Linked DNA regions of Oreochromis niloticus. The protein of the gene in region 1 binds, or shares a complex with, the protein of each later gene. Links are inferred from orthologs where the notes say so. Each region holds a gene or a part of one and is shown on either strand. Other genes may lie near its edges.

What was found.
Region 2: the proteins of hcrtr2 (region 1) and hcrt are in contact, whole or in part, in a cryo-EM structure (PDB 7L1U), measured with the Homo sapiens proteins. The link is inferred for Oreochromis niloticus from reciprocal best matches to the Homo sapiens genes HCRTR2 and HCRT. Residues at the interface, in NP_001371201.1 of Homo sapiens: Thr111, Val114, Trp120, Pro131, Gln134, Thr135, Val138, Gln187, Val209, Cys210, Asp211, Phe227, Thr231, Ile320, Ser321, Asn324, Lys327, Arg328, Phe333, Ala334, Thr336, Arg339, Val342, Tyr343, Phe346, His350, Tyr354; in NP_001515.1 of Homo sapiens: Asn89, His90, Ala91, Ala92, Gly93, Ile94, Leu95, Thr96, Met97.

The regions. Positions count from the first base shown.
Region 1 is NC_031978.2:19,745,993-19,763,195, forward strand, and holds the start of hcrtr2 (orexin receptor type 2), read left to right. Parts: upstream 1-9,974; 5' UTR 9,975-10,184; coding exon 10,185-10,401; intron 10,402-17,203. UniProt on the Homo sapiens protein: Nonselective, high-affinity receptor for both orexin-A and orexin-B neuropeptides. Triggers an increase in cytoplasmic Ca(2+) levels in response to orexin-A binding.
Region 2 is NC_031969.2:26,555,638-26,571,300, forward strand, and holds hcrt (hypocretin neuropeptide precursor precursor), read left to right. Parts: upstream 1-8,956; 5' UTR 8,957-8,985; coding exon 8,986-9,042; intron 9,043-9,818; coding exon 9,819-10,184; 3' UTR 10,185-10,362; downstream 10,363-15,663. Other genes in the region: plcl5 (inactive phospholipase C-like protein 2), read left to right, coding at 3,171-3,280, 6,258-6,722; kcnh4a (potassium voltage-gated channel subfamily H member 4a), read left to right, coding at 12,231-12,306. UniProt on the Homo sapiens protein: Neuropeptides that play a significant role in the regulation of food intake and sleep-wakefulness, possibly by coordinating the complex behavioral and physiologic responses of these complementary homeostatic functions.

The DNA.
Region 1 (17,203 bases):
GGACAATATAACATTGTATTTGCAGGCACTGAAAAAAAGATCATGTTGGTTTTACTTAATTCAATACTGGAAATTGGTTGTGCATAATTGTTTTGCTTTGGCAGAAACTTAAACAACTGAGTTAAATCAACACAACTTATTCATGTTCAATAAACCTTTGCATTTTCTGATGATAAAACGTGATTGAAACATGTTTAGATGAAATAAGGTGAGCTCTTGGAATATTTTAATCCTTCACAATTTTGTCATGTTATTCCAACATTATTCAATAGCTTTTACCCCAATACTACTTGGTCACATAAATACTACATATTACATAATGTTTAACAAAGTCTAGAGTCTGGTTAACATAAAAGTTGAATAGATTTACAGCGACTACCATCGTCCTATCTTTATCCAGGTTGCACGGGGGCTGGAGCATAACCCCGAAGTGATATGTTACGGGGCTGGGTACACCCTGGACAGCTCACCAGTCTATCACATACACTGAAAAAAAGGGATTGGCCAGCTCTTGGATTTATGTAAGGATCTTGCGTGTATTTAACACAATTGCCTCATGGTTTAAAGTTAAGTGTAACTATATAGTGTAGAAAATACATAATATGCAGAGCGGGTAGATTAAATTATTCATATCATGTTCGAGTGAAGTAAGTCAATGATATAGCAATGTTAAATCTCGCGACACTGCATGGGATTTCAGTCTTGCATGCTTTGGATCGTGGTTTGAGTCAAGTCGAACAGCCGCCTCTACTTTTTTTGGTATACCAAAAGAAGTAAATTGGGTAGTTGTTACATTAAAAAAGTCTAACTTGTAAATTGAACACTAAATTTTCATGTTTCTATCTTGAACGTAATTAAATCATGTAGGATCTGTACGAAATTCAACAACTTAATTTGTTCTTGTTGAGATGACATGATACAATCTAGTAGGAGTGGTTAATTGCTGGACTCATGAAATTAACAAGATCAGCTGAGATTTCAAACTGCAGGAAAATTTACTAGAGTTATAAGAGGCAGATCACTACACACACACAACGTGTATGCTATTGTTTTTTATTGTGGTTTAACCTGTCAAGGACAAAAACATACAGAAAATTCTGCATCAAGCCTTGAAATCATAGCTTTCCTACTTTTGTCAACCCTAGATTGGTGACATGGTGGTTAGCGCTGTTGCCTCACAGTAAGAAGATCCTGGGTTCAAATCCACAATATGGCTAGTTTACACTGGTTTCTCTCTGGGTATTCTGGTGTCCTCCCACAGTTAAAAGTCATGCAGTTATTAGAGTTAGCTTAGGTTGATTGGTGATTCTAAATTCACCGTGAATGCAAATGGTTGTTTGTCTCTATGTGATTGACTGGTGAGCTGTCCAGTTTGTACCCTACCTTGTAACCTAGGCCCCTGCAACCAGGATAAAGATAGGATGTTAGTTCTTGTAGATCCATTCAACTTTTATGTTAACCAGACTCTAGACTTTGTTGAACATTATGTAATATAAAGACAACATGTAGTATTTAAGTGATCAAGTAGTACTGTGGTAAAGGTTATTGAATAGTGTTGAAATAAAATGACAAAATTTTGAAGGATTAAAATATTCCAAGAGCTCAGTTTACTTAATCTAAACATGTTTCAATCACTTTTTATGAACACAAAATGCACAGGTTTATTGACTATGAATAAGTTGTGTTGATTTAACTCAGTTGTTTAAGTTTCTGCCAAAGCAAAACATTTGTGTGCAACCAATGTCCACTATTGAATCAAGTAAATCCAACATGGCCTTTTTTTCAGTGTAGAGACAAACAACCATTTGCATTCACATTCACGGGTACTTTAGAATCACCAATTAACTTAGCTCTAATAACTGCATGACTTTTAACTGTGGGAGGAAATCAGAATACCCAGAGAGAACCCACTGCAAACTAGCCAGATTGTGGATTTGAACCCAGGACCTTCTTGCTGAGAGGCGAGTTACAAGTTAGACTTTTTTAAATGTAACAACCACCCAATATCTTTTTATCGGTATACCGAAGAAAGTAGAGGCGGCTGTTTGACTTGACTGAGATGGATGCCTTCCTCAAACCACGATCCAAAGTGTGCGAGATGAAATCATGTGCGGTGTCGCGAGATTTAACATTGCTATATTATTGACTTACTTCACTCGAACATGATATGAACAATTTAATATACCCTCTCTGCATATCATGTAGTTTCTACACTATATAGTTACACTTAACTTTAAAGCATTAGGCAATTGTGTTGAATACACGCAAGATGCTTACATAAATCCAAGAGATGGCCAATCCCTTTGTTTCAGTGGGGCGCTGATGAATACAGGAACAGATGTAATATTTGGGACAATATTCCTGCAAAGTGTCGTTCGGATTCACCCTGCAATTAAGGAGGAAAAAGGGTGACATACATGTACAGACATACATCTATTATCATTATATTATAATTATAGTAAAATATTTTTATTATCATTCCACAGACTTTATGCAAAAGATGGCTGCAGCTACCATGGTGTCAGTCATGGGTTTCTGTCTCCCATTTTAAAACTTTTGGCCATTTCCATCTTGTTTTTTAAGATGTTTTTTAAGGTGTGAACCTGAAGTCAAGAAAAAACGAAAGTCACAAGGTTGACCCCTCCTTTACTGTCTGTTTTCCGCTTAAAAGCACAACAATTTACTAAATGAGTTTCATGATTTAGTAAATGTCACATGGAACAAAGAACTGAGACAAAAAAAGAAGAATAGTCATCAAAGTAATTATTGAAGTCATGAGTTATGTGAGAAGTAGGGTAATTTTCTCTTAATGTTTTTTTGCAATCATCACTTCCTAGAAGAAATGCAGCTTTAGCTTTTTAAACCCCCAGCCTCTGTCCATTCTTTATATACAGTCTGTGTGTGGTATTTAGTTGTCAGTTCATACTGAATGAGACTATAGGCTGTGTCATATATCGGCCATTAATCAGCAACAGTGGGGATTTATTGCACCCACAGCCATTATATGAGGTGGAGACATTAATGAGAAAAGCAGGCAAGGTAATATAAAATGGTAATGCATAACTAAGAGTAACACAACAGGAATAAAGGTCCTGCTGAAATGAGTTTAGTCAAAGCCCACTAAGATATACTGTATAAAATTACATTTATAATTCTAAGAACCATTCAAGAACAAAAGAGCTTAGAGTCAGTTTAGCAGAAATTGTAGTAAATCTAAAATTTACATCCACCCAGAAAAATCCAATACGGGTCTAAATTTTAATCTCTGCCATCTCTTCCCTAAGAGTACCCAGACGTTGAGACATGCTCATACATGCATAGAAAGTTGAATGTTGCGAAAGGGATTTGGCAGATATAATCAGAACCAACCAAACCTGCAAATCATGACAAAGGGGGGAATTTTTTTTTTAAAAAAACAACAGACGATGAGTTCTGCATTGATGTCATTTCTCAGTATTTACTGGAATCCTGATTATGGATCGTTTTTAATATCTCTGCAGGGAGATACGTTGTAATGTATTTTCACTCCATACTATTCGATAAATGTTGAGATAATAACAAAAATCAGAAACATTTAAGGTCATATAAATAAAAAAAGCGCTTAGATTCTGTATTTTCAATTAAAGAACAGGCTGCCGTGGATTATTGTATTGCACATTAGGGATTTTTGGTTAACTGAATTGGGATTCAGAGCCTGAGGTTGGCATTTTAACAAAAAATTGGATAACATGCTGCTTAGTTGTGATTATTATTTAACGCTGGACTTTATCTGATTAGCGGAGCACCAAAGGCAGAATATCTGATTCATTTTTTATTTCTTTACAGTTAGGATACTTTAGCAAGAGCTCAATTTCAATACTGAATGAGTATAGATCCTGGGTGTTATAAATTTTATGAGCGTGAGCTTCAGTCACATATTTGGTGAGCAACAACCAACATATAAACTCAAAAAACATGGCAAGAATAAAAAAGAGAACCTTAGAAATATTTTTGTTTAAACTGACTCGACTGATACTTTACACCCATTTTACAATACAGTGTGTGAGGTTTAACATTAGGTACTCGTTACCAAAACGTTTCATTAAACAAGGCCTTTAACTAGAGATTGAGACCAATATCTCATTTGGAAAGTGTTTGCTGAAACCAAATAGAGAGTGAGCAGTAGCGCCTAGATGTCTTTACAAACTGAGAAGCCTCCTGCTGGCAACAAGAAGCAATGAATGTTTAAAGCACTTAAATGCATCAGGACTAAAGAAACTACACATGATCACTGAGCAGTATTTTACATGTTTCACATGTGTTTGTATTGAAAGATGTGCCATTTCACAATTGCTCATATCAGCTTTTTAAGCAAAAAGAACATTTTTTCACTATTATAATTTGATGTTGTGCCTGGATTCTGCTGGTTTGGGGGTTACAACTTCTAATATTCCTGTTACTGCTATTGATTTTACCTTTGACATCTTTCATCCCCTGGTACTGCTCAGTTTTCTCGTGCTTCTTCTTTATGATGTGATAAATGCGGCAATCCCAGCTGATGGAAAATCAAAAGGAATTTCTCTGATGTGTGGCTGATTTGCTGTCAGCCAGGATTCCCACATCTATAACCACTGCAGTCTTCTGCTGCTTGTCAGCCACCACTGTGTTTGGTTGGTTGGCCAGGAGCTGCATGTCTGTCTGGAAGTTAAGGTCCCACAGCACCTTAGCCTCTTTGTTTTCAATCACCTTAGCTGTTGTCTCCCATCTGGAATTGGAGCCTTCTAATCCATATGTGGCACGGATGTTTCTGTATACTATCCCAGCTGCTTAGTTGTGCATCTCTGTGTACGCTGTCCCATCTTGCTTCTTGCATCCTGCTACTATGAGCTGGACTGTATCCAGGGCACATTTTTGTACTGCCTTCAACCTGAGTCCTGATGGCTATGGTAGATTCCTACCCCTGTGGATTTGGTGCTTAGGATCTTGTGCTTGCATGATCAAAACATCTTTCCTGTCCTTTTGGTCAGCCTTTTCGAGCATTTGGGAGTATTTCTCAATGTCAGCCACTTCCTCCGTCTGTCAATAGCACATTAAATGCAGGGTCTTGGTCTTGCACCACACTTCCTCCTTTTGTTTCTTATCACCATCTGTCTTCAGCTGCCTGAGGCACTCTTGTAGCACCTCATCTCAAAGGGGCCATCTCCCTAATGTATTCTCATAGCTCTGACACCCACTAGTCCCCCTTTTCCACTTTTTGTGGCTCAGAGCCATGAGGTGGAAACATCCATGCAAACATCTGCATTGTGAGGAACTTTCATGTTTTGACATCCATGGCATTGATTTCCTCCTTTGGCCTCTTGCTATTCCAGCTGGGTATCTGATGACCAGTGAGGCCTATGTATTGATTGCTTAAATCTTATTCATGCTGTTGATTTGACTTTTCAGCTCCCATTTCACTCTGTGGGAGTAACTGGCTATGGCTGACCTTTTGCAGCTTCATCATTGTTCCCATTAGACTTTGGAATACCAAGGTGCTTGTAGCTGTTTTTTTCAATAATCTGCCAATATATATATGTACACTCTCTCCAGTATACATATAAAGCATTTTTATATACAGTATATAAATAGAATAACAAATGATACAGATAGTTTGTTTCATATTGCACATATTGCAAGAATAAAAGACTGGTGATTTTTTAAACAGCTCAGTGTTGTCAGGTGTCTAAATGAAGACAAAAACCTAGCTGAGCTGATCGATACAAACAAAAGATTGATCTATTACTCTCAAACATGAAAATGAAAGCCGACTTTGACAGCAGCTCACTCCTACATGACACAAAATTAATGGATCAGACTCATGATTTCATAGCTGCTGCCTACTCATTACTGCAAATAATCTTCTTATATTTGAGTGCAAATATCATCATTTTGTCTACAGTCTTAGGTGAGCCCACTGAAGAGAAGCTTACCTCCATTGTGTTTGACATTGTTTTGCTGGAGGCTTGGTTCCTAAAATAATGAGTTCTGCTTCTATGTTCTGAGAGTAAATTGGGCTCAGAGAAAACAATCTACTTTCACTGATGACACCTGAAACATATAGCATTAATTTAATAGAAAAAGGCAGCTTTGAAAAAGTGCGTGGTATTCCCCTGTTATAGACCTTGACACCCACTCAAAGTGACATGAACCCCAGGAGTTATTTCTGAACTTTTATGTGGAATGCATAGCATACACGCTCAGAAATTTGGAAACAGTAAAAGTCTATTTCTGGTTTTATGGTTACAATCTTTTTGAATGCACCCCCTGGGGCTAATCTTGGGCTTCCAGATTTTAAGATGCAATATGAAAAAACTGCTTGTTTTTGGCTAAATGCAAAAGATTTTAGGCCAAATACATATTTTCGTTTAAGGTTTTATGGATTATTGACATTAAATGAAAAACAACTGTCATTCTCCATCTGTCTTATATATATGTATTTAAAGGAGCAGAGCACTGCCACCTCACATCAAGAAAGAACTGGGTCTGAAGATGTCTGCAGCCTTTGTTCTCTCTGTGCCTGCAACATTTTCTCCAGGTTTTCTCCTTCAAAGGTCCAAGGACATGTAGGTTAATTGCTGATTGTTAGCTGTGAGTGGAGAAAAAGACTACAAAAGTCAATTTCCAGGTTAACAAATGAATATTGTGAAATATATATATATATATATATATATATATATGTATATATATATATATATATATATATATATACATATATATATATATATATATATATATATATATATACATATATACATATATATATGTATAATTTGAATGAGCTGGGTTTTTTGTTTTTTGTTTTTTACATCACAGGGTACTCCTGCAGTGCCACACAGTTGTAGCAAGCAGCTGCTATTTTTTTTTCTGAGAGTTTATTATGGATCAGATGTTTTTCCTCTATATTATTCTTTGGGTATCAGCCATCACATCTCCATAATTGCATTAAAGTGGAAGATAAACATGAAAGGGTCTGCAAATTGGTGTGACACTGATACTTTGCCCATTTTGTCACAATAAACAAATTATGCACATTAGCAGCTATAATAAATTGACCTCACAGTAGGCCAACACACCTCTCAACATTTTGAGAAATGTAGATCACTTTAATGTGCGTATGCTAAATCCAAGGTCATGTCCAACAAGCAATTAGCCTAGCTTTATACAAAGCAGGGGCAAACATGCTGTTAAAATATACCAGGAGGTAAGTCTTAAAACAGTTTGGTATTTTCAGAAATACACTCATTTGCTTTTCTTAATGGCGCAGATTTCATAAGAGAAGACACCTCTGGAATCAGCAAGGCATTTTCACCCAGAGAACTACTGCTCATCGGCTATTTTCTCTTTTTTCTTTAAAACCCTTGAAATGGTTTTGAGGGAAAATCCTGAAAACCAACAGTTTCTGAAAAACTCAGACCAGCATGTGTGGCACCAACAACTACCCCACATTCAAGTCCCTTGAATCTGATGCTCAGTTTGAACCTCAACATCTCATCTTAAGCATGTTGTAGCAAAAGACCCGACACACACAGGATTGACAAACCCATTGCTTGGGAAATGTTTATTTTGCTTGTTCAGCCGTTTCTTTTGCATTACAACACATAGATAGAAGTGACTCAGGAAGCAGCTCCTTCTGCAGCTACTCCACTCACACTCGCTCTCCCACGCGTCTCCGATATGGGGGAGAGAGAGCGTGCGTCAACAGTCACCTGCACATACACCTCTGTCCTCTGTCACCTTGACGCCGCCCCGAGAGCTCACTGTACCACCCCTCCTCTGCTGCAGGCAAGAGACCACACCCCTGCCACACATGTCTATGTGCCTAAGTGCACTGAGTTGCTGCCATGTGATTGGCTCATTAGATAGTGTTGTTAACAAGCAGCTAAACAGGTGTAAGCTATAGTGAGCAGTCAGTTAGTCTAGCATTAAGACAGGAAACATGGTGTGGGGTGACAACTAGTCTACCACTTCTAATGATTATAGCTGAGCACTTGTATGTTTGTCCTTCCTCTTGTTCTTGAACATGTTCTTTTTGCTTTACTTTATGTTATCAAGAGTGAAGTCTTGAGAAAGGACACATAAGTGTCTGACCTTCAGGATAAGGAAGCATAGTTGTAATGACTCAGTTCATGGCTGCACTAAACAAAAAACTCTTTGATAAATCTCCACTTTGTGTCACATTAATGCAGTAAAAACGACTAATGAGGCATATGTAACACGAGTCTTCTCTGACATACAAGAGACAGTCACACAATGCAATAAACAAGGCAAATTTCAGCGTAAAGAAAAAAACCCTGCTGTGCCTTAATAATAAAATCACAGTCAGAAAAGTCAATACCTGGATGCTCTCTGGAAAAGCTAATGGACAATGACAATGACTGGGGTAGAAACATAAATATAAATCAATTTGCTACAAAAAAAATATAGATGACTCGTGTTGCTGAATAGACCGATGTCTCCTAAAAGGTTTTAGCAATAACATTGACTGCAACAACAATTTAAAATTAATTATTTCACGTGCCACCTTCAAAATAATGTCAATAACACATTCATAAAATTATTAGCAGTACCTCAATCAATGGCACTTTTGAGGTACATTGAGGGACCTAAAATAACTGGACACTAATGATTTTACACCACAGTGGATGGCTGAACTGAAATTGAAATTTTCACATCCACCGAGAATCTCAGCTGACACTGGCTAAGAAGCATATAAAATGGACAGGCTGCTGGTTCACATGGCTAACAGACAGACAGATAACCGTTTATATTCACACCCACTTAGAGCAAAATTTCAGTTAATCTTAGATATATTTAAACTGCAAGAAAAAAAACTGATCACTCTGACAGGGAAACAAAACAGGGACAGGGAGATGATGCAAGGAGCCAACCAGAACTCAGTAGTGGGTAGAGTCGTGTAACAATGTCCCCATGGGACAGTTTGCTTCACAGGCAGTAGTCCAATAGAATGTATACGTGCATACATGCACACATACATACATAAAGCACATTTTACAAAACGTAATCCTGGATTCAAATGTATTATGATGCCAACATAAACCATGAGGAAGAGGGTTTAATTTAAAAAAAAAAAAAAGACATATAGAAGATGCTGAGGCTTTTATAAGAACCTTATGTCATCAAGGGTACTGGAGCTTCCTGTAAGGCAGCCGTGTTAAGCACTGCTCCACCATGATACTCACATCTTTAATTCAAATGTACCATTTAATTCATTTTTAACTTCTCAGCAGGAGTTCGTGCAGTTGTGCTCTCACTGCCTTGCAGATTTAATCTGGCCTATTCATTTTGAATGGAATCATGATTTCCATACCGTCATCATAACAGCATATTTTGCTCAGAACTGCTGCCTAAACAAACCCAATGACAGTATGCAGCATATGCTCACAAAAACACCCCTGAGATGCTGAGATGATGTTCAGATTTATGATTTGTTCACACTAGAGCTGTTCACAGCTTGTGACAAAGAGAAATAAGACTAAATATGTACAAATAAGGAGTCTTAATGACATAACAACAGCAGTTTATATTGTTGTTGGTGGTGGTTTTTTAAATAAGAATTCAAAAACAATTCCCTGATAAATTGGTACACAGTCTGAGTCTTGTCTTACAATTCAGTCATTATCTTCACACAGTCACAACAATTTGCTCAAGCACTACAGGAGCCAGTTAAACCAGTTAGTTTAAAAGAAGTGCACCGTTGGATTAAGGGGGTTAACCGTGTCAGTGAATTGGTCTCAAGTCATCCGTCCACTGTGCCCTCCTTTATATGCTTGTAATTGAGTTTCGCACAGAATTAAAAGCAGATTACGCTACTGCATGTTAAATCACCCCATTCATTTCTAACATCTTGTTCATCCACCATGTCCCTCCCCGCATAAATGCCCGAACACCCCCTTTCTCTACATTTTTATGGGGGTGGGCATTCGGGTTGAAGCTCAGAGCTCGTTGCTCGCTACAATGTGCTGTGTTGGTGTTTGACCCTGCAGTGGCTTTGAATGGAGACAGAGGGGAGACCAGCGTCATTCTGACGAGTGGTCCGTGCGGAGCGCGTTTAGAATCGCGTTTGCAGTGTGCTCAAACAACCTGCGGTCACTGCAGACGCACCAGCAACAGCTGCAGTTCATCCGCCACACAAGACACCTGGAAGCATGTCTGGCATCACTGGGAACGTGGACTGCGAGGAGTGCTTATCTTCTGGACATTTACCCAACAGCACGGAGTTACATGTGCATCCCACCTTGGATGATGACGAGGAACTTCTGAGATACATTTGGAGAGAGTATTTACACCCCAAGCAGTATGAATGGGTTCTCATTGTGGCTTACATTATTGTATTCTTCGTTTCACTCATTGGGAACTCGCTTGGTGAGTCGTACCTTTAAATGCATTCATTTTTCTCTCCCTCCGTTCATCTTAACAACTTGCAAAAATCATAAAGCAAAAGTACACTTCGAACAACTTTTTTTCCCCACCTCTCCATAATATCAGCGCAAATATTACTAGAAGTATGAGAAAAATCTGAATGAAGAGCGATCAATAACTAAAGAAGCGCATTCCCCCCCCTCTGTGATGTTCACTAATCGCAGTCGCGCCTCTGCTGATGTGGAAGCATCAATGAGGAGGAGAGCCCGTCAATCAGTGCAGGAAAGTGAGGTTAATTTTGGAAAATCGGTAACCTTCCGATTTCTTTGAAGATACATCGAGCACAAATAAATCATTTCACACCGTGCATGTGCGTAACTTGCAAGTTTTGCAGACCTATTGCCTGCGAAATTCCATTATTGGACTGCTTTGTTGCTGGTGTATTTTCTCAATGGTTTAACAGCAGGGGCAGTTTTACTATTTAACAAAGAGAAGCCAGACTGACCTGTAGCTCTGTGTTTTTTATTGTGAAATTTCTTATCGGGCTGCTACCACATATTTGAGAACCTCCTTCTTTGTGTCAGTGTGGGAGTCTTAGTTATGCTCTACTGAAGCTCTATTGTCACAGTCACTAAAATAACCTGCTCTTTTGCGGCTTGCACTTTGATCTGTTTCAACTTTGAAAGCTGTCTTTGTGCAGGTTTGTGTTCTGTATCTCATCTCAGGGATCCCACTAGCTATTTTTAGACTTTTTTTGGTAACAAGGAAAAGGGCCCCTGACATAGATGCAGCTGTGCACTGCAGAATTGCACTCCAGCTTGGAAGGCTGAAGGTGTGCCACATTATCTGTCATTTTAGGCAGCTTGTACCAGTCTAATAATTTGTATGGTATTTCAGCGAGGAAGACAGCATTCACCCTCTTGCCATCTTCATTATCCTTAATGCAACACCCACTCCCCAGACAGTGGATGACATTTTGAAATGGGCCACTGTAAATGCTGTCCAAGAGAATTTTGTAGATGCTTTCAGAAAACAGCTTTCCACCCTTGCGCAGAGTCTACTTCCACTTTTATGTTTTCAGTCTCACAATAGAATGAACAGACCGACTGAAAATGATACATGAGTGGATAAGTTACGATTCCAGAAATCAGACAGGCCAGCTATTCACAATCTAATGTTCAACAGTTTCATATTAAACATGTTAAGTGAAATAAGCAGGGTTATCATTTGCTTTTTAAAGCTCAGATTACAAAAATATGTGCTTTATAGTACTGATTTACTAATAATACCTGGTTGCTGATGTAATCAATGTTTTAGTAAATACTTCATAAATGACACAGAAGTCATTTAAGAAACAAATTAGTCATTTTGTTTATGAGTAAAATTTGCATTTCTTTGCTGAACAGAGCAGTCGAGGACATTGGAGGGGTCCCTGTGTGTTTAATCAGTATGGCCATGAGTTTCAAAGCCAGAGATGACAGGTTCTCATTATAACTGTCAGTGTTAGATGAGTAAGCACAGCGCGAATCTTTTAAATCATCGCAGCTTCTCTTTCTTTGTTTCCTGCTCTGTGTGCTGTTTTCTCTTGATGCTTGCTGTAGTTTTACTTGCTATGAACAGCAGGAAGTGACAATAGAGGTGTCACCCCTGCCTGGAGAATTTCTTCCTTAGACAGAAGTGAAGAGTGAGATTTTATAAAATCAGCATTTATGGTTGCATTTTTTTCCCTATAAGGGAAAAGGAATCCAGTGGATTTTTTGCTAGAGCTGAAAGTATTTGTTCTCATAGTAAATGGCCTTGCTGCTGTAATGGATTCAGGCACACCTTGTACAGTAGATACTCAATTTAAAACTTTAGTCTTCCTTTTCGTAGAGGGTCTTTCAGTGTAATCCTCTTTAACATACCTTTCCTGCTGCTGTAAGTAGAAATTTTGATTCATCAAATCGCTGCCTGTATGAAAGGAGTGATTTGAAGATCTTATAACTTCACTGTTCACAGACGATGTTAGCGACCACCTGGCGAGCATAACATTAAGCAGCTAAAGCAGGGGTCTGCAACCTTTAACACCCAAAGAGCCACTTGGACCGTGTGTGAAAAGTGGTCAATAAAGAGATGCTGAAAAGCATGTTCATGCAAACATCGTCGGGTCTGCTGTGATATGTTTACAATGAGACTTCTGGTCCCAAACCTCGGCGCACAGCGTCTGCAAATCGGGGCTTTCATCTTTACGCAGGACTGTAAGCTGTCATCTGTGAGGCGGGAGCAGTGTTTGTTTTTAACATAGTTCACGGTGGAGAACATCTGCCGACATAATGTGGATCCGAAGATCCATAATTGGGCTATCTGGGGTTGAAAGTCTCGATAAATGCACGGCGTTTCCGCGAGTGTGACGCTTATTTTGAGCGATGAAAAAAATAATAAGATATAATTTTATTTTTATATTTCAAAATCACAATAATCTTCCAATTTAGAACTACAAGTTAAAAAAAAGAACTAAACACAAATAAAGTACACTTCAGCGAAATACTTCTTCTATTTTCCCAAACCACCCGGAGCCGCAAAATAAGGACTAAAGAGCCGCATGCGGCTCCGGAGCCGCGGGTTGCCGACCCCTGAGCTAAAGCATCAGATATTTCCCTCAGAGAGTTGGCAGACACTGAACATGGAGTAAAAAGTAATGAGAAACCACAAATAAATCTGCTCTGTATGTGACGGATGTGTAACTACAAGAAGCCTTTTGCTAAAATGTTTGCAACATTATTATTTTTTTAAACCTTGGACACAGTGTTTACACCTTGTGTTCAAGACGCTCAAGTTGCCCAAAAATTCAGTTGATAGGGATTTAACTAAGATTCTGCTACAGGAAGCCACCATCCTGTGCCATCCCAATTTTACGTCAAAGGCACTGCAACATTAACTAAAATTCCAACTGATAATGGGGGGGGGAGGGGATTCTTATTAGATCACTGGAAACATTAGGGCTAATTACCCTGCTCAACTTCTTGTTAACACAACAATCCAATGAGGCAATCATATGGCAGCAACTCAGTGCATTTAAGCATGTTGACACGGTCAAGAAGACCTACTGAAGTTCAAACCGAGCTTCAGAATGGGGAAGAAGGGTAATTTAAGTGGCTTTGAATGTGACACATGGTTGTTTTTGCCAGAAGGACTGGTTTGAATATTTCAGAAACTGCTGATCTACTGGGCAGAAAACCATCAGAGGTCAGAGGAAAATGAGCAGAATGCCTTGGGATGATAGAAAGGTAACATAAACTCAAATTCTTTAGAACCAAGGTATACTGAACTGGATCGCTAAACACATAAGATCTCAAACCTTGTATTCTGGTGCTGGGCTACAGCAGCTGAATACCACACTGGGCGCCACTCCTGTCAGCAAGGAACGGGAAACTGAGGCTGTGATTCACACAGGCTCACCTAGATTAGACAATAGAAGACTGGAAAAATGTTGCCTGCTCTGATGAGTCATAATTTCTGCTTCAGCATTCAGATGGTGAGAATTTAGCATGAGCAACATGAAACAACATGATCCTGTCTTGAATCACTGGATCAGGCTACTGGTGGTGTAATTGTGCGAGGGATATTATCGTGACACACTTTGGGCCCCTTAGTACCAAATGAGTATAGTTTAAACACCACAGCTTACCTGAGCATTGTTATGACCTCAGTATACCCATCTTTTAATGGCTGCTTCCAGCAGGATAAAGCACATTGCCACAAAGCTCAAATCCCACTCAAACTGGTTTCTTAAACATGACAGTGAGCTCACTGTACTCAAATGGCCTCCACAGTCACCCGAGCTCAGTCCAGCAGGGATAAGGTAGAAGGAGAGCTTCACATCATGGATGTGAGGCCAAAGAATTTCCAGTAACTTTAATGCTACCATGTCAATATGGATCAAAATCTCCAAGAAATGCTTCCAGCACCTTGTTGAATCTATGCCATGAAGAAATAAAACAGTTCTTTCCAACTCCAAAGCTACCAAGGTCTACCTAGCAAAGCGTCAAGTGAGTGTAGACTATGTGACTAGTGATACAGCCAATTAATCACACTTTAATCATCTCCAATTTATTTCATTGTAACAATTTTTTCATGTGAACCCCTCAGTCCTCCTCAGTCTGCCTTCAGTTGGTCTTAACTGGTCCATGCTTTTTCTTTAAATCCACAGATGACGAAGCTTTTGAACATTTAGTGCATAAACTTTGGAATGGCACTTCCTCACTCATTAGGTCAACCAAATCAATAGTCTGCTTTTAAATGTGTGCTGAAAACACATTTTTATAGATTAGATTTTCTTTTAAACACTACTTGTCTTCATTTTTCGGTGATGTGCCCTATAAAGGGCAGCGGGTATATTATTTGCCATCAGCCAGAAGCATATATCAGAAGCAGATGCAGGCTTTTTTTTGCCTTTAGTGATAAACTTAAACTTATTATGACTGCACTGAGAGGAGAAATCTTTGAAGTAGGCATGCACATCTGCTGCTGTGGCAGACACCCACAGGCAGCAGCAGGGGTGGCTGTGGGAGGTAGAGTGAATCGTCTACTAATCGGAAGGTCGGGGATTCAATCCCCGGATCCTGTAGTCTGCATGTTGAAGCATCCTTGGGCAAGATGCTGAAACCCAAGGTTCCCCTTATGCTGATCCACTGCAGTATGAGTGTGTGTGTAAATGTTAGACAAAGAATGAAAGTGCTGTATAAATAGCGCTGTGTGACTGGGTGAACGAGTGCACAGTAACAGTAGAAAAGCACCATTCAGTGTCCCAATCCATTGGCTATTTAGCATACCTTCTAAAATTACTAATTATTTCCTCAACTGCAATAGGTTCATCTCTGGACCTACAGTAGGTTCATTCTTTTTTCTCTGTGTGTGTGTGTGCCAACATCTCAGATCTGACTCACTTACTAAAGAGATAACCTCCTTTGGAAAATCAATCAGCATATTTTATACACTAACTTGAACCACACAATGCTGTGTACTTGTATAATAAATCATACTGTTATGTAAAAAGTAGAGCAGCAAATGTCCTGTGAAACAGTGCTATCTTCTGTGTGATGCTCTGATCAGTAAATGCTTGGTGAAAGTTCAAACAAGAATTTAAACATGCACGTTAAATTTTACAGGACTATTTGGCATTTATAAGTCTTTTTTGTTTAAGAATAATTGATCACAAGCTCTTCAAAAAAAGCAGTCCTGCATACTCTCCTAATCAAATCACAAGATTACAGGCCTTTTAATAGAAAATGGAGATAAAAAGTATTTTCAAGGTGATTTGAAACTGTTAATATAAAAATTATTTATTATCTTAAATCATCTAAAGGTCTTTTGTTCCTACACAACAGTTTAGGTTTGGCTATAACAACAGTAGAAACTGTTTGAACTAAACTTACCACACAGAGCCTGCAACAAGTCAACTCTATAATCGTACACAGTAAGAACAGGCTATCCAACTGAAACAAGGAAGTATTGTGTTTTTCTGATCAACTCTTGTCCAATATTTAATAGCTTTTAGCAGTACATTGTTTGTCAGTTCCACCTGAGTGATTCTGTCTTGCTAAAAAAGCCCCTCATTATCTTTGTGCAGCTTCTATGCACTTATTATCTACCTGTGAGTTTCTGCAAGTAGGTTACTGGGAGTTTTCAGGACAAACATTATCAGCTGGTTGGATTATGCTGATATTTATAAATCTATGGTATAATGTCCATTCAGTCCTTTTTATAGCTCCCAGGCATCACAGCATTATAGTGGTAGTTATGTTAATTTTGATTTAAAAAAAAACTTAATTGGGCTGTCAACTGGATCATTTGTTCTCATTCTAAATACTTATATAAAAAGAATCACAAAGAATTCACAGTTCAGGTTAATGTTTTTTAACCTCATCAAAGGGAAGCCTGCGAATCCTCAACACAACACTCAGTTCTTGTAACCTTGCTGTGTTGCAGCTAAACTAAATAATAGTTCTAGGATTTGTTTTTGATCTGTTGTTTGTAGTTTATTTATTTCTTACCTCACCTCGGCTCCAGTCTAGTTTGAATCCAGCAAATCCCAAACCAGGTGCCGGTCCTTTAGGACTCTTTTTATCGTCATGGTCCTGGGGGGATGTCAGGGGGAGTTTTGTCTGATGTTTGAAGGATGTTTTGATTGTAAGCAATTGTAAAGCAGGCCCACTCTCTTAATTAAATTAAATTTGTTTTCCCACTGTTTCCTTATTGTTGTCTTTTAAATGAGGGACTGAGCGCTGCTGTAAGTTAATTTTGTGCTCAGTATTTAATTTCCTGAAGTGGGAGGTGCTTCTGACTATGCAGACATGAGTTTTAGTGCCTCTCGAGTAATTTTATATTAGGTTGTTTTATTGAGCAGGCCATAGTAGGTATATTGACAGGGGCGCTATTGAAATGGGGAAAAGCCTGGTGCAAAGCTGTTTCCTCAGTTTTTAGTTTTTATTATCTTTAAGATGGAGATTCTAAATAAATTCTACATGTATTTTTCCACAACTTCAATTCATTTTCTTAGCTTTGTTTTTTTTTTATTTTGTCCAAATGCAGTAAATAGGGTACACCAACCCACTGCTCTGAAGAAAACGGGAATAAAAAAGAAGATGGCACCACTGAAAGAGCCTTTTATTTTTGCATCCACCACTCACTCAGCCATCGCTCACAAACCCCATAAACAGGTTTTTGTTTTGTAGAAATGCACTGATTGACTGGCCTGGGACCAGAATTGGCTGATTTTTTAGCATGGACTGGTGACAATAAACGTAATGAACTTCGTAAATCACCC
Region 2 (15,663 bases), on another chromosome or scaffold:
CTCTCACTGCAGTTGAACAGAAACCAAATGGGCTGAAGCTGAAGCAATCCTGAAGCACGCCTCACATTATACTTTGAGAAATGCAGTCGAGTGCTTTCTCCAAATTCCCAAAATGTATGTAGACTCATTGAGCAAACTTGAATGCATTGTTCTTCCTGGATCCAAGGTTCGACTAACAGATGAACTCTCCTCTCTGGTAACCTGGCATAGACCTTCCCAGGGTGTCATGGATTGGCTGTGTGGGAGCAAGGGTGGAACTTTATGCAGGACTCAGGGGAAATGGGAATAACTCCAAAAAACTGCTTTAATGCTGTCAGGCAAAGAGTAAACAAAAGCCAAAAATGTACGCAGAAGAGAGCCAGGAATTCCAAATACCAGAAATGACGGAGCAAGGGAACAAACAGCAGTGAGGGACAATATGACAAAGGACAAGGAGAGACAGAGGCAACATATACTCACAAAATAATGAGGGAGAGGTAGCACGTGAGAACACAGGTGAGGATAACTTAACATAATAACTCAAAAGGAAGTAAAACTGAACACCAAGCACAAGAGACAAAAGACTACCACAGTAAAAATGGGAAGTAGCAAAACACAAAGACTAAACAAGACATGGAAACACAAGGGAGGCAGGAACTCAAGGATTTAAATATAAACCAAAGTATAACCATAAACAGAACTAGAAGTGAAAATGAAGCCAGATAAAATTGGTGCAAAGGAACCAACCAGGAAATGCAAAAACTCAGAACAAGTAATTCTCAAAACCAATAGAACAGTAATTTATAGAAAACTCAAAACCCAGGGACTCTGAGAAAGGGAGGCTGAGGAGTGAAGTTAGAGCACACCCTCCTGCCCCCCTTCTTGAAAAGGGGGCACCAGCTGTATTTCTTGGCACCTCTATGTATTCCACGTCTGGTGGCGAGGTGTTCAGGCATCTGGCTTGAATATAGCCATGCATCATGCCATATTAAGGCAGGTCCAGGAACAGGTGCAAGCTTACTATATGAGTTAAAGACCTGCTGCCTCTCTGCCAGCCCTACCATGTGTATTTATTGATGTTCTCTTCCTTGCAAAGGTTTTCGCTATGATGAACCACTGTTTCAGTCAGCACTGTGTATTTTATTGCCAGTAGAAAAGATGAAGAACTCTCCCTCCCTTTATCTTCCTTGGATTTAACCAGTTTTTCTCCCAGCTCATCAGCAGCTGGAATATCCCATGTTCTGCTTCATGGCATTGTGTTGGGCTTTCCAGTGTGTATGAATAGAGATAAATTAATGAAACACTGAGCTGACTGTCATGCATTCCCCACTCAGAGCATTTCCTATCTTTTTATTCATTATTTCTTTTCATCAGATCCTGTTTGAAGGTTCTGTTTGATTTTATTATTTACTTACCTTTCTGTCTCTCTGCCTGAAGCCACTGTATGTTTTTGAAGCAGAAGAGGTGCTGCAGTACTTGTTACAAAGGCAAAAACCCTCTCTGCTCTTTACTCTACTGAGGTGTGTGTGTGTGATATGTTTGCATTTGTTTGGCTACTCAGAAGAGATATATTATTCCCTAAGTCCTCCTTAGGACCCGACTCTCCCTGTCTCTCTCTCTCAACGTAAAATTCAATCTCTTCAGAGTGTGCTACAGGGCCACATTTTTATTAGCTCAAATTTCACATAGTTTAAGTGACACTAAGGAACAGCAACATCAAGACTGTTAGGGGAAGGGAAAGCTTCATAATGCCAAATTAAATGCTTCAAGAGCTGTATTGCCTCCTCTAGCTAATTTGCTAAATTCATGACTTACTCCGCTCCCTGCCATCCTAACTCCTCGTGTCCTGTGAACACAAACTTCCTTGGCTCCTCTCTGAGCCCATTAACTACAACAGATTACGAGATCAAATCAGTCCTAATCCCTGTTAGCAGAACTTTCAGGCTCTGAAACAGATATTCTGCATTGGTTGTACATCACCATCAAGTTTGGAAATTATAGCGCATCTGTGCTGGTTCAGCCTGGTATGCCCTGAAAACTGGTGATTGTGTCATTTTGTTTTTATTTTTAATTTTAATTTTTTTTTTATCTTGACTTCATAAAGTCAACATAGTCTCATTTTTCTTCTTACAAAATGAGAGGCCTCTATACCCCTTGCATGTTTCTGTGCTTCAAGGATGCACTCTGAAGATGATAACACAAACCGTTTGTCAAATGGGAACAATGTAGCTACATTACAAAACCAAGATGGCATCTCATACTTTCCCAGCACAAATTTGGGGTGTTTTGTTGAATATTAAAACAAAACAAAACAAAAAACCCTAACAAAACAGTGTTTCGATATTATACGGCTCTGGTACTTGCTGACAGTACAGTAAGTCTCCTACTCTCCACCAGTTCAACTAAAGAATGTTCCTGAAAAGAGGTTTGTTGCAGTACCTGCCACCTGGAAATGTTCAAAGACTAAAGAAGGAATGACTTGAGGTGACGGGCTTCTTGTGAATTGTAGTGTATTATGTTTCATCATTGTTTTTGCAGTAAATCGAAGCTGAAGAACCATAAGGTCACTTGTCAGGGACAGACTGACAAGCAGGCTGAGCCTTAGGTTTAGGAGGAGTTTGCTCTTAAAGCCCGGGGGATTAGTTACGGTCTGCCTGGGCTAAATGAAGCAGGAAGCACTGATAGATTAATTAGAGTTTAGCCTGCTTCATATGACCTCAGTTTAGACAGCCATAGCAACACAACACACTGCATGCTAAAATCCAACTGTAGTGCTCCAACTTGGTTGTGGGTACAAGAACAAACAATAAAATCTACTAAAAGATGGTTATATTACAGTATGTCATTGGATTTTATAATGTCTGTGAATTTATATGCATAACAGATCTGGACTAATATGCATTAATGCATTTATGGCAGAGTTTTGTACACTGCAAGACACTTTACCTAAAACTTCTCAGCGGGCATATTTTGTTTCATGGTGATTTTTGCAAAATTGCAAAATGTAGTTATTTTCCTTGGTCTGCATACATGAGGTTATTTACTCTTGTATGAAATTTCTTCTACTAAACATTGTAAAACAAATACTCCAATGTAGACTATGCCTAAAAGTGTTTTTTGCATTGTATTTTTTCCACTTTAATATGTTTTGCTTTTATTTACATGGCACGCCTGCCTGTGTGTTTGTCCAGGTTTGGACTTCCATGAGGACCTGCATCGCATTGGAGCAAAGGAGGGTCTGAAAGGACGTAAACTGCAGAAGGCTATGGAGAGCTACGCTTGGAACATCACTGTGCTGAAGGTTAGTGAACCCCTCCTACAACACAGCAACAAGCCTAATAATTAATCTAAACCCCCCATTTGTATAAAGTACAGCTATTAAAAGTGATTAATGTGCATTTGAGATTACTTTGGGGACTGTACCCAACTGGACAAGCAATCTGAGACCATGTTGCTGAGATTAAATAACATAATGTCTTAAGAAAGCTCACTGGGCTAATTGTATTTCCCTCTTCTCTAATCCCTAAACCTCTTAATTAATTACTGTTGAGTCCAAGTACCATTTTATTTATTTGGTCGTGTAACTATCTTGACAAGACACGATAGGATTGTTCGCGCTTGTTTATAGACACACATATGCTGCTCTGTTATTCCTCATAAGGAGACACTGGATCCCCTAGACATGCCTTGATGATGATGCATTCTTGTCTTTGCCTGCCCCTTGACACAGGAGATAAGGCTGCTCAATGCTCTCATCTCATTTCCTCTACGACTGCTGCCGGTAATAGCAACGCTAAAATAACGCCACATGCTAAGTACAGACAGAGTGGCTTGAGCATTAGGATAGATAGATGTCTTCTCCTTTTCATGCCAGTCTTGCCAGATGGAAAACAACAAAAAGGGGGTTGCATTGCTGTTAGGGTTAAAATGATGTCCTCCACCCATCTATGGTGCAATTTACGCCCTTGCTTCCTTTAGCTAGACCAGCTGTCCAGAATCTATCCCAGCACTAACCACATTCACACACCTTATTTTTCCGATCGCAGTCTCCCCCCCGTTTCGTCTGTTCTCCTGTGATGAGCCACCCTTTCAACAACAAGGTGGCACACACATAACTCCTTCTTGTCCTCTTCCCATTCTTCAGTTGTAATCTGCGTCTCATAGTGAACATTTGGTGAGAGCTTGGTGCTTGTTTGCCAAGGCTGGCAGCCGTACCCAGTTATTATTTCACCTGTCAGCCTCTCCAGATTCTCAGCAGGCCAGGAAGTACTCGCTAGTCGTTAGAGATGGAAGTGTGGGACGCTGAGAGGAAAGGCGAGGGAAGAGTCATGTCCTATCTGTTTGTCAGTGTTCGTCTCTAGCTCCATCTCCACCCTTACTTTGACAGTTTCGGTCAGTTCGGGGCTGTCACGGTGAATGAGGGTATTTGCCCATTTCTGCCACTTATTGTTCCAGTTAGTCAAGAAAGAAGAAAAATCAAAGAGACAGAAAGAGATCCTTTGAAGCAAATGTCAGCCACATTGCTGTCCTTTTTAGAAGAATAACAGGGATTGAAAAAAGATGTCTCCCAAATCGCTCATGTTTGTACTTTCTAGTGTTATAATCTGTTTTCTTGGGCAGTTACATATAATTAAATAACCTCCTCTTAAATTCACTCAGATTTTGGCCTCTTCAGTCTTTTCTGTGTGAAGCCAATGTAACTCTAACCCTTTTATATGTGATTAAATCAAATTCTCGCAGATGTCTTGTTGTTATGGTTAATCCTTAATATAAGAACTGACTCAATCTATATGTTCCAATGATGCTTATACTCTGCTGTCTCTTCTAACTTCCCATGGATGTCTATAAATGTAAAATAATACCTAGAGGCAGGTTATCGACTACTCAATTTCTCTCAAAGGAGTGGTCCGTTTCTGATAAACAAAAAGGACACTGGTTTAGAATTTAATGAGGATATAGTTGTGGGATTTAGTAGCTGTCCTTACATGAGCTTAGCCCCCTGCGGACAACGTTAGGCCAGCTGTAGGGGTGAATGCATTCAAAGACAAGTGTAGCCGTTATTTGACTCAGGCAGCACAGGATAAGCTTCTTGCTGCCTTATTTTATGCCTGGTGAGTCATGACTTACATAATTTCTTTTTTTTCCTCCTTCTTCTTCTTTTTTTATTCCAAACATATGACATGCTCATACTCCCGGTTTGCGTGCTGTATTGGTTGAGCTAAAATGCCACTTGCAGTGTATTAACATCACCAACGAGTAGATCGCAGGCCATCGTCTGCAGGGCATCACCTTTAGTCTTACCCCAGTATGTCATACCGCTGTACCTGCCTTGTGGCACTAAGAACTTTATCCCTTTCGCCGTTTATATTTTAGTCTGGTCCACAACAGGTCAGACTGTGTCTCTTCACAAGGAGGTTAGCCCAGCAAGCTGTCGCAGCAGGTCAGGCAGACCGAAGTTCAGTGCGAGGGAGGTAAAATATGCAGATTCGCAGATAAAAGGAAAATTGCTTTCAACTTTCTTGTGAGCAGATGTTGAAGTGGACATGCTGGAGGAATCTGGCGAGAGTAAACCCTGAGGGTCGAGAAATTAGATTGTTCAAGTGGAGGGAGTTTGTCTGAAGCGTGTGGTCTTTCTCCCTTTTTTTTCATCTCCTTTGGACAGTTCTAATAATATAAGCACCTCTTACACACAGAAATAACTGCCTGTGGAGAAAACTCCACCACATTTCCACATGGCAGAGACAGCTAGCTTAAGGAGGGAGGCAGCCATGGCAGTGGCCCAGATTGACTTGACAGTGCCGTAGCGCAGGATGCCTGCCCTGACCACTTCCTCCACATATGGCAGGGTTTCATCTCTGGGGTGTTCAAATAAAGAGCAGAAATGTAGTATAACATTGCCACCATATGCCAGCAGTACTTGCAAGCTGAGAGGAACAGTACAAAGGGCTGGCAAGAAACCAAAGGCCTTTGTTCATTGGCTTCATACTGCCCCCTTCTGCATCTTTTTGAGTAATACATTAACAATAAGCAATAATATAAGCACCTTTACTTTCTTCTCACTAAAAAGTCATGCAGATAGTGGTCGTTTAGAGATTAAAATCTGTTTTCTAAAAAACAAAGAAGAGGGATAAAAGGAAATTGCATTGATGGTGTTATTTAAAATAGAGTTAGTATAAGTAGCCTTTAGGGAATGCTGTTTGAATGCATTTAAATTTTATATAGTTCAGTGATATTAACAAATGTTTCTTTCTGCCTCTTCTTCTGTGTCTAATTCTTAGGGCCAGGCTGACCTGCTAAAGCACGCAAAGAGTGAGGCACTGGACACTCTGCGTCAGATCCACTGTGCAGCTCAGTCCTGTGGCCTCAGTAAAAATGGAGCAGCTTCCCCACAGCTTCAGCACCATCCTCACCACCAGCCGCAGCAGACACAGCAGCAGCCTCAGGCCAAGACCCACCCAACGCCTCCACTGCTGTGCCAACCCCAAAATCAGCTCCAGTCTCAGACCGCACCTCAGGCTTATCTGCACCCGCATCCCCAGCAATATCCCCAGCTGCATCCCCAGCTATCGGCTCCTCCTCTGGCCCCACCTGTTCCAAAACCACCTGCCTACCCTCAACCGCCACCGCTACCCCAGCACCAGTTTCAGTTCCAAAACCAGCAGCAGAGGGCAGCAGTACCTCTCGACACCATCCCCGAGAAAGAAAAAGAGACTGTCAGTGACAGTCCTGCGGGATCCTGCTGACCCGCTGCCTGTGCCCACAGAGAATCCGTCCCAAAGAGAGACAGTGAGACAGAGAAGCAGAAAGGTGTAGAAAGAAAGCAAGAGGTCAGTAAAGAAAGAGAGATGGAAGAAGTTGCTGAGAAATTAAAAGAGATGATGATGAGGAGGAAGCCTCGTCGTGTTAGAAGCGAGACGCAAGTTTGAGAGGTGATTTGAGTTGGCCAGAGATATGAAAGAGAAGAGAGATACTACACTTCAGCTAGAAGTGAAAAGCAGAAGGATAACGGCTGAAAACATCAGTGAGTTACATATCCCTGTCTCTCTCTGGGCACTGCTATTTTCAAGCCCCTCCACGATGTACTCTAGCTCTGTGGGTACAGGCTTTACCTCACTTTGGCATTTAATGCCACAAATTTGCCTTTTTTATTTTCAGAGACTCCTTGGCATGTCTTCAAGTGTTTATTTCTTCACATTCACACTTTCCCTCCCACAACTAAGACATACAGGAAACCCTCACTTATTTTGATGATGAAGAGGAGGCCATTTTAATTTAGTGGCACAAAGTAGAGCAGCTCTGCTAGTCTGTAGGGGTCACAAATGGCCATTTCAGCACAAAATAAGCAGCTATAGTGCTAAAATAGAAAAAAAAAATCACCCTGATGTATTATTGCTGGTGTCAGTCTTCATCAGGCCCCTCAGATCTCTAGTGTCATTTCTCTTAGGGTTTAAGTTCTCCGGCATTCTTGGACACTCCCCACACAATCTTTTTGTCTCCTTCCTAGGGGCTACGTATATGATGTTATGTGAGTTGATGTCCTGGTCCCTAGGATGGAGCACGTCCTTAAGTGGCGGAGTTCACCAGTCAGTCACAACTGGAATATTTGACCCCTCCCGTTAGAGGTCAAAGATCATCAGGAACATGATACTGCTGTCTATAAGAATAAAGTGACTATAGATGTAAAATGTATGCAAAGTGTATGAAGGGAACATATATTGCTATAATAATTCTCGGACATTCATGATTGATATTATTATAACTGTTGTTAGTTTTATTGATATTCTAAGTATTTTTTAACATTACTTCCACATACACAGTGATTTGACACCTGTTGTTCTGTGGTGCAGATCAAGCCAACCAGTGCATGTGCCATTGGAATGAAAGGTTTAGGGGTTAGCACCACAACACAACAGTCGAACAATAACCTGACGTGTTTCACTTCAAAGTGAGTGTGGATTCTGTAAGAGATCTCTTAAGTGGCCCATTAAAACTGGCTTCATTGTTTCTCCTGTCTCCTCTTGTTCATTACTATTTAATAATCATTCAAGTAGCTATATGTACAAATGAACTGGGATAAATGGATGTAAATGGATGCTCTTTGCAATTTTATTTAGATTTTTAAACTGATATTTTTTTTTAAAAAAAAGGTTTTTACTGTGCAGGGTTCACACACGGTGCCACTGCTTTTATTTTTTTTAAAGAGACCTAGCCATTTAAAAGCAACAATCAATATAGCTTTACAAAAGTGCACTGTAATGCATAGTCAATTCTCAATCGATCTTAAATGATTCCCTTATTACTAAAATAGATTTAAGCCATTTAGTTTATCATGAATGAGATAGCACTGCTTCCTGTTGTCCATAAGATGGCAACAAACATTAAGTAAATGGTTGTGGGGATAAAAACAATCAAGCGTTCAATATTTGCTTTTAAGAGTTGTTATCTTGTTATTTTTACTGCAAATTTGTCCCTGATTTGTAAAGCAGATCATTTGTGCACAGATGTGCCTGACATGCCTGACACCCTACCGGAAGTCTTTTTCTAGGTCTTTACTTGTGAAGTGCTTTCACTATGAGAGAGAAAAGTCCATGCATCCTCATTAGCATAGCCTTTGAATGAACTTGTCATTAGAGCAGAGAAAGGGCATCCGTTTTTTAAATATATATATATTTGCTAATTGACTTCAGCCCCTCACCAGTCATTGTAATGGTATGTCTTAATAAACCTTTAGCATGCAGCCACAAAAACATACCTGCAGTGCATCAAAGGTCCACTCAGGCGTCTTGGAGATGACCTGGGATAGGCCACTAATTAATGGCAGCGAGCTTTACAGCAAACTTCAAATGAGCAAAGACTAGAAAAAAAGAGAATCAGTGGTTTTGTGCTACGTTTGTCACTGGTCTAAATGACGTCCAGAGGACTGATGGGATGGACGGCACAGGGCAATATAAAAGACACTCATTCGACCCCTGGGACCAGATGACTTCCCTTCAGACAACAGAGCAGATGTTGTGGTTCCCCACTAAGTTCCAAGAAGCTGCTGGGATGGAAATGAATAACAGGGTAAGAAGACAGCTTCATTTTTTTGTTTGTTTGTTTAAAATTTTCATGGTTTTACTTTGCTGATTTTTTTGTTTGTTCTTTTTAATTGCTTTTTCTACATTAGCATCCCTTTGTGCTCTAAAGGTATAAGCAGCCTACTGAAAAACAATTTGGGATATTTGGTATCAGTTATTCAATTCTCAAGTGTAGTGGAGGAATAAATTTAATTTAATGCATTTTACTGTAAATATTTAACACTGACCATTTCCTACTGAATGTGGTTTTATCATGTCACTAAGCTCCAATGATAAATATATATGTACATTTATTATACAGCATCTTCTCTTCTGTAACCCAGGAGTGAGGGGATTAAAATAAATAGAAGAATAGAAATAATTTACCTATGATATACGATAAATAACAAATTATGCCTGGCTATATACATATATGTTCAGGCTTATAAGCTTTATCATTAAATGGGGGCTGTTTGTATTGTATTGTACGTAATGCAATGTTGGTTAAAATTTAAGCTTACCAACATGTTGCATGGGCATGTTGATACTGACTGACTAGTGCTTTGGGTTTATTATCATTGTTTATAATAGATTTAGATGGATAGTATTATTTTATTATAAATTCAGTGATTTATATTTATTATGCATTGGAATTTGTCCATTCAACTTCATATTAATTCACATTTACATGTACTTCATGCACTCTGTATTTTTTGTTATTTATAATCATACCTCTTTAATCCTAAAAATCATATTTTTAATCTAATTTCTTTTAATGACCAGAAAGCCATGGTATTGGTCTTGCTGCTGCTACTGTCTCAGCTGGCCTGTGACGCTCACAGCGTGTCTGAGTGCTGCAGAGAACCGTCTCGTCCCTGCCGCCTTTATGTGTTGCTGTGTCGCTCAGGCAACAAGGGACCGGGTGGAGTCCTCACAGATGATGCGGCCGCTGGGATCCTCACTCTGGGCAAACGAAAAGAGGACGAGTATCGCTTTCAGAGCCGACTCCAACAGCTCCTACAAGGCTCCAGGAACCAAGCAGCAGGGATTCTGACAATGGGGAAGAGAACCAGAGAGAGAGCTGGGGAGCAGTACATGGACTGGATGGCTCAATCTGGAACGACCATTATGACACCCCTGCCTGTTTGAAACTAATCGAGTAAAACCAGGGACGCTGTTTAAATGAAAAAAGTCACACTTTACACCAAATGTATATTTTTTTGCTCAGAAATAATGTGAATTTGAATGTGATGTCCAAATTTTAGGAAAAATGTTCTATATTGTACATAAAAGGGTCTGTGATCTAATAAAAAAGAATCAAAGCTGATCAACTGTTAACTTTCATGACTATATACAAACGTGACAAATACTCAATTTTATATTCTGGAATAAGTTAAGCATTTGATAGACATCACATACAGTAATGATCATTTCTTGGTTGATGGGATGAATACGAGATAAAAAGCACACTGTGGAAGACACCCAGAGATTAAAAATAGATAATAAGATTTATCCACTAGAAAATCACAGATGAATGCCTGAATCCAGCCAAAATATAAAAACAACCTTTGTGTTAGTCTATAAGCACAATCCATCAGCCACACCCAAGGTAAATGGTAAACAGCCACCATGCATGTAGGGTGCTTCAAGGTGTCTTAAATTTAATTTTGCTTCATCTAAGTGTAGTATGGTGAAAAGATATGATCCCTGTAGCTATAGGGAGAATAAAACATAAAGCATAAACTATTTGTTTTAACTGCTTCCTTACCAGGTATTCAAGGCATAGTCTGCTAATTTGAAATATTGGAACAGACACATGCCTCCCTGTAATGCTCACAATCATTGCCAGGCACCTGACTTAAACTCAGTCCGGCTGGTGGCTTTTTAAAGAATTTTTTACATCTGCCAAACTGACACAGATGCATATAAATCTCAAATCTGTCCAACAGAAAGTACCTCTGATTAAAACGAACAAAAACATAACTGTTTGTGATTAAAAATAGAAATTTTCATGGGTATGAATTTATATGCGGAACTAATATAGTGGATTTGTGTGCACAACAGCTTTATGCAACCATATGGAGTCGAGAGGAAATGCTAATAAGTGACGATGAAACATAAAGAACCAGTGAAATCTGTTATTTCGAGGTCAGTTTATGTGTATAGGTTTTTACTGCATCTTCTACAGCAACTATCTGCGTGGGTGTTTGTTGATGCATGGGGACTAAATAAAAAGTGAAATAGAGGTGGTGATACAGACAGCAGCCTGTTAGATTCTTCAAGCACATCAACAAAAAGCCTAGCAGCAAATTGACTGTTATTACACTGAGCCAAAACGTGAATCGCTTGATGCTGTGCTTTATTCAACTTGACCTAGCCTCATGTGTCAAAAGAAGGGCTGATAAAAACACAAAATCTTTCCAGAGATGCCAAAGAAGATATTCAGTTGCTTTCTTCCACAGCAAACAAAACGTGCACACACCTCCCTTTCTGTGTTATTAACGCGGGATCCAGCTGTACCTCAGAAAAATGATTGGTAATTTAAGTGAGAAGTCTAAGCAACAGAAAACCCTCTTCTGCCTCCCATTGTGGAGTTTCACAAAAGATAGAGGTGAGAGTGTGAGAAAGCAAGAGATGGAAGAAAAAGGAAAGTTATTTCTAATAACTTCTCTGGGGAGAAGGCAAGGTTTTATGTGAGAAAGAAAGTGAAGGCAAGAGATATTTCATAAATTCAGTGGCTAGAACGGGGGATGGTTCAAGCTTTTGTATGAGAGAGAGGGAGCGAGAGAGACGGGGAGGGAGGGAGCGAGAGAGACTGGGGACTCAATGGCAAGATTCATGGAGAGTGGAGTTACACTGACTGAAGAGCAGCTGAGACTTTGCTGTGATACTGGAGCAGTGCTGAGCACAGAGCGATGCACAACTGAACCTGAATACTTCTGACTCAGGCTGAGAAAAGCTTTAGAGCTTTAGCACGGCAAACCTCTGAATTTTCCTTCAAAGAAGAAATGGAAAGCTCTGTGATACATTTCAGTAGTTTTATCCACTCAACATAGAATATATAAAACTTCCACTCCACTGAAGAGTTACAAGCAAACTCAAGAAGCAGTGTTGAAAGTCTAATTCGGGTCTTCTGTAGGGAATGGTGACAAACTACTTGAAACTGGGACTCTGCAACCTTTTTTCTGGTGAAAGATGCCTGTAATGAAGGGCCTCCTTGCTCCACAAAATACCTTCTTGGACACCATTGCCAACCACTTTGATGGAACTCGTAAGTATTTTGGGGAGAGGGGATCACTTTGAATTAATACAGGTTTTTTAAAAGAATGCTGATAATGACATTTCTGATGAATATCCATGAATAGTACATCGATTAACCTGCAGACCAAGTATTTGGAATCTGCGACTGATATTGTTGGACAAGTCAAACTGCTAGTGCCCGCAGATTTTGATCAGTATGTGTTCTTCTTAAAATGTGGATTACTTATATTGAAAGAAATGGCACATAATACATTTATATATGAAACATGTTGCCTGCAAACGGTTTGGTATCAATTTTAAAGATGAAGCTTTCCCAGCTTGCGTTTAGGATTTTTGCCTTTGGCATTTCTGTAACCCAATTTAGGACTGTGACAGGCACTGATAAACACTGCTGTCAATCAATATGTCCAACAGTAGTGAGATCCCATTAAATATGTTGGAGCTGAAGAGCCACTTGTTGAGATGCCGTGTTACTTGTTAGAATATTTCCCTGTTGAGAATAATGTCAAGGTCTTTCTCAACAGCAAACAACAAAAAACAGTCAAATCAAATTATTCATGAGCAACATTAAAGTTGTAGAGCTAAAGTCTGGCATCTTTCTTTCAGTTTGAAATCTACCGAAAAAGAAGAAGAAAAAATATATATGAGCTTTTTAAAAAGTTACTGAAAAATCTACTGTTTATTCTAAGACCGACTCAGCACTGTGTTGCTAATTAAATAACTATGTGCAGCAGTTACAGAATGATGCTAATAACTGTGAAAACACTATTGGATTTAAACACTAGACTTTGCTGAATAATTAATCTGATTAAAGACCAGCTCTAATAAAACATATTACTTTTTAGCATTTAATTACAGCCATGAAAGTTTCAAATTAAAATGTAGCTTATGCATCAAGCACTTGAAATGATTTGATTTTTGCTCATTATGCGAAACTAATGCAATGTAAAGCTAATATTTACATGTGCTTGGATTAGTAAGAAAGCACAATTATTTTTCCAGTCTTGTGTAATCTAGCATCAGATGAAGAGGCAGATTAACCGTATCACTCCACACAATTTATAGCACATAGAATATTGTACTTTTTTTCTTCTTGTTCCTGGGTGATAAGTGGCTTTTCTTCCTGCTTGTTATGCTTTAGAAGCAAAGAAATTAAACAATATTTTCAAACTATAACACTTAATACACAGAAACAAAAATCTTATTACCTAGGCATATGGAGCAGATCCACCTGGTTACACCCACACAAACACATATGAACCATACCAGGCATGGAAAGTTACATCTTACATCAAGTATCCAAGCATGTCAGTTTTACTCTACATCAGATTTAGTGCAAAAAAAAAAAAAAGAAATACATCAACAAAATATATATATATTTTCAGAAAACAAGAAAAGTGGTGCACAGGTCAGACGTTACGTTTCTCTCGCCATTGAAAATTCTCCATCTGTTCTCTGAGGTTTTTTGCCCTCACCTTCACATCCGCAGAAAGCAGATATAGAATTGCATTTACACAGATCTGGGCAGCAAACAGTGCCTCTGTATGAGAGTCGTGCGTCGGTGGACTGATCAAGTCACTGAGTAGGATGTAAAAGGATCAACTGACAAGAGATGGCTTCAGCATAATGCCGCAGGAATCCAGGAATAGTCGAAAAATATGTGTTAATTGATTTGAAAGTGTTTCTATGAAAAACTGCTTTTGGATCACATACTGTGAGGGTGACTGAATATAGGCAGTATGATCCTGACATGAGAGGAGAGAGATTAATTTAGATGAATTACAGCATATGCAAGAGACAAAGAGCCAATCAAATATAATTTGAGGTGTGGTTCAGTCAACCTGTGAAAGCAGGAAAACTCTACTTTTTCACCTAGTCACTCACAAATTATACAGGGTACCTATGTTAATGGCCAATTTTAAAGCTTTCAGGATAATAGTCATTAGATATATGTGCATTGTAACCTGTAGAAACAAAAGGACTCTACCAAATATGTTTGTTTTTGTGCTGAAATTGCAGTTTCCTCCTCCCCACATGCTGATGTGGATAGTTAGGAATAATAAATGCATCTGAATCAACAAATGCTTGCATTTTAACAATGTTTTTGCAGTGATTCACATCATTTTGAGGTTTGATGACTGTCAGTGTTAACCATTGACCCACCTGCTATTCAAACCGTTTGTTTGTGAGGGGTGGCTAGTCAAAAGAAAGTCAGAGTAGCTTAAGACACTCAAAAAACGCCTTGTTACATAAAGTGGTTAAACTGTGGGCTTGCACCAGTATAAGATAAATTAAGGTTATCTGAACTGTAAATCATGCACAGCTAGTCCAATAATGCCCCAAAATACAAATGTGGTGCAGGAAATTATCGTAGCAGGTCCCCTTTGAGCAAGTGGGCTTAGTCAAATCTATTAAATGTGTTTTGTAGAAATCAGAGTGAGGGTACTGTTGCAACATTACCATTTTTTTCCTGCACAAATTGCCATGGCAACATAGGCGCAGGAAGATCTTAATTTAGCTTCTTATGGGATTAAGTGCACACACTTCAGGTAAAAAAAATAAAATAAAAAAAACTTCACTAATTGCACATGTGTTCTTCTGGAGGCAACACTTTGTTAGCACCCTTTAGTGATGCTGGCAATTATTTTGTGGTTGAAAAATCATTTCAAATACAATACCGTATGACAGCATGCATCTGAATAATCTGCTATTATCAGTCTCTGTTTACTTTCCAAGCTTTAGAGAGAACACAAAGCTTCAGCCTCATTATATCTGGCCGCAGTACAGGTGCTTGGTGTTGTCCTTGCAGCTATATCATCATTGGAGTGCTTTGCTACATAAGCAAACAAAGAACTTTTGGGGAATTAAATTTCCTCGCATCAAAGTGTGTTTGAATGAACAAATAAAAGATGACATGTCAGTGTACTCAGTCTAGTTGTCTAAATATTGATGGGTTGGACAACTGAAAGCACACTTCCATTAGTCATTGAATGATGAAGACATCTGGTTGTTGCGTCCCTTTACAATAGAGTCTAAGCTGCATGACCCCAAACCATTTATTTCTATATTTCAGTTTGTAACTTAAGGAACTTGGCAAGTTGGGTAAGCTATTCTATTTTCCACCATTTTAACAGGTGATACAGAAAAAAACAGCTATTCTTACACTGTTATTTAATTATTAATTATTTGGCAACAATGATAAGAGCTATTGTTGGTGGAGTAAAGATGTAATGTACAGTCTGTCAAGCAGAGTGGTGGCAGCATCTTACTGTGGGGCTGTTTTCCATTCACATTGTCAATGGACTGATTCTTATATAGTACTTTTCTGCGCTCCCAGAGCACTCAAAGCACTTTATACAGCATCCCT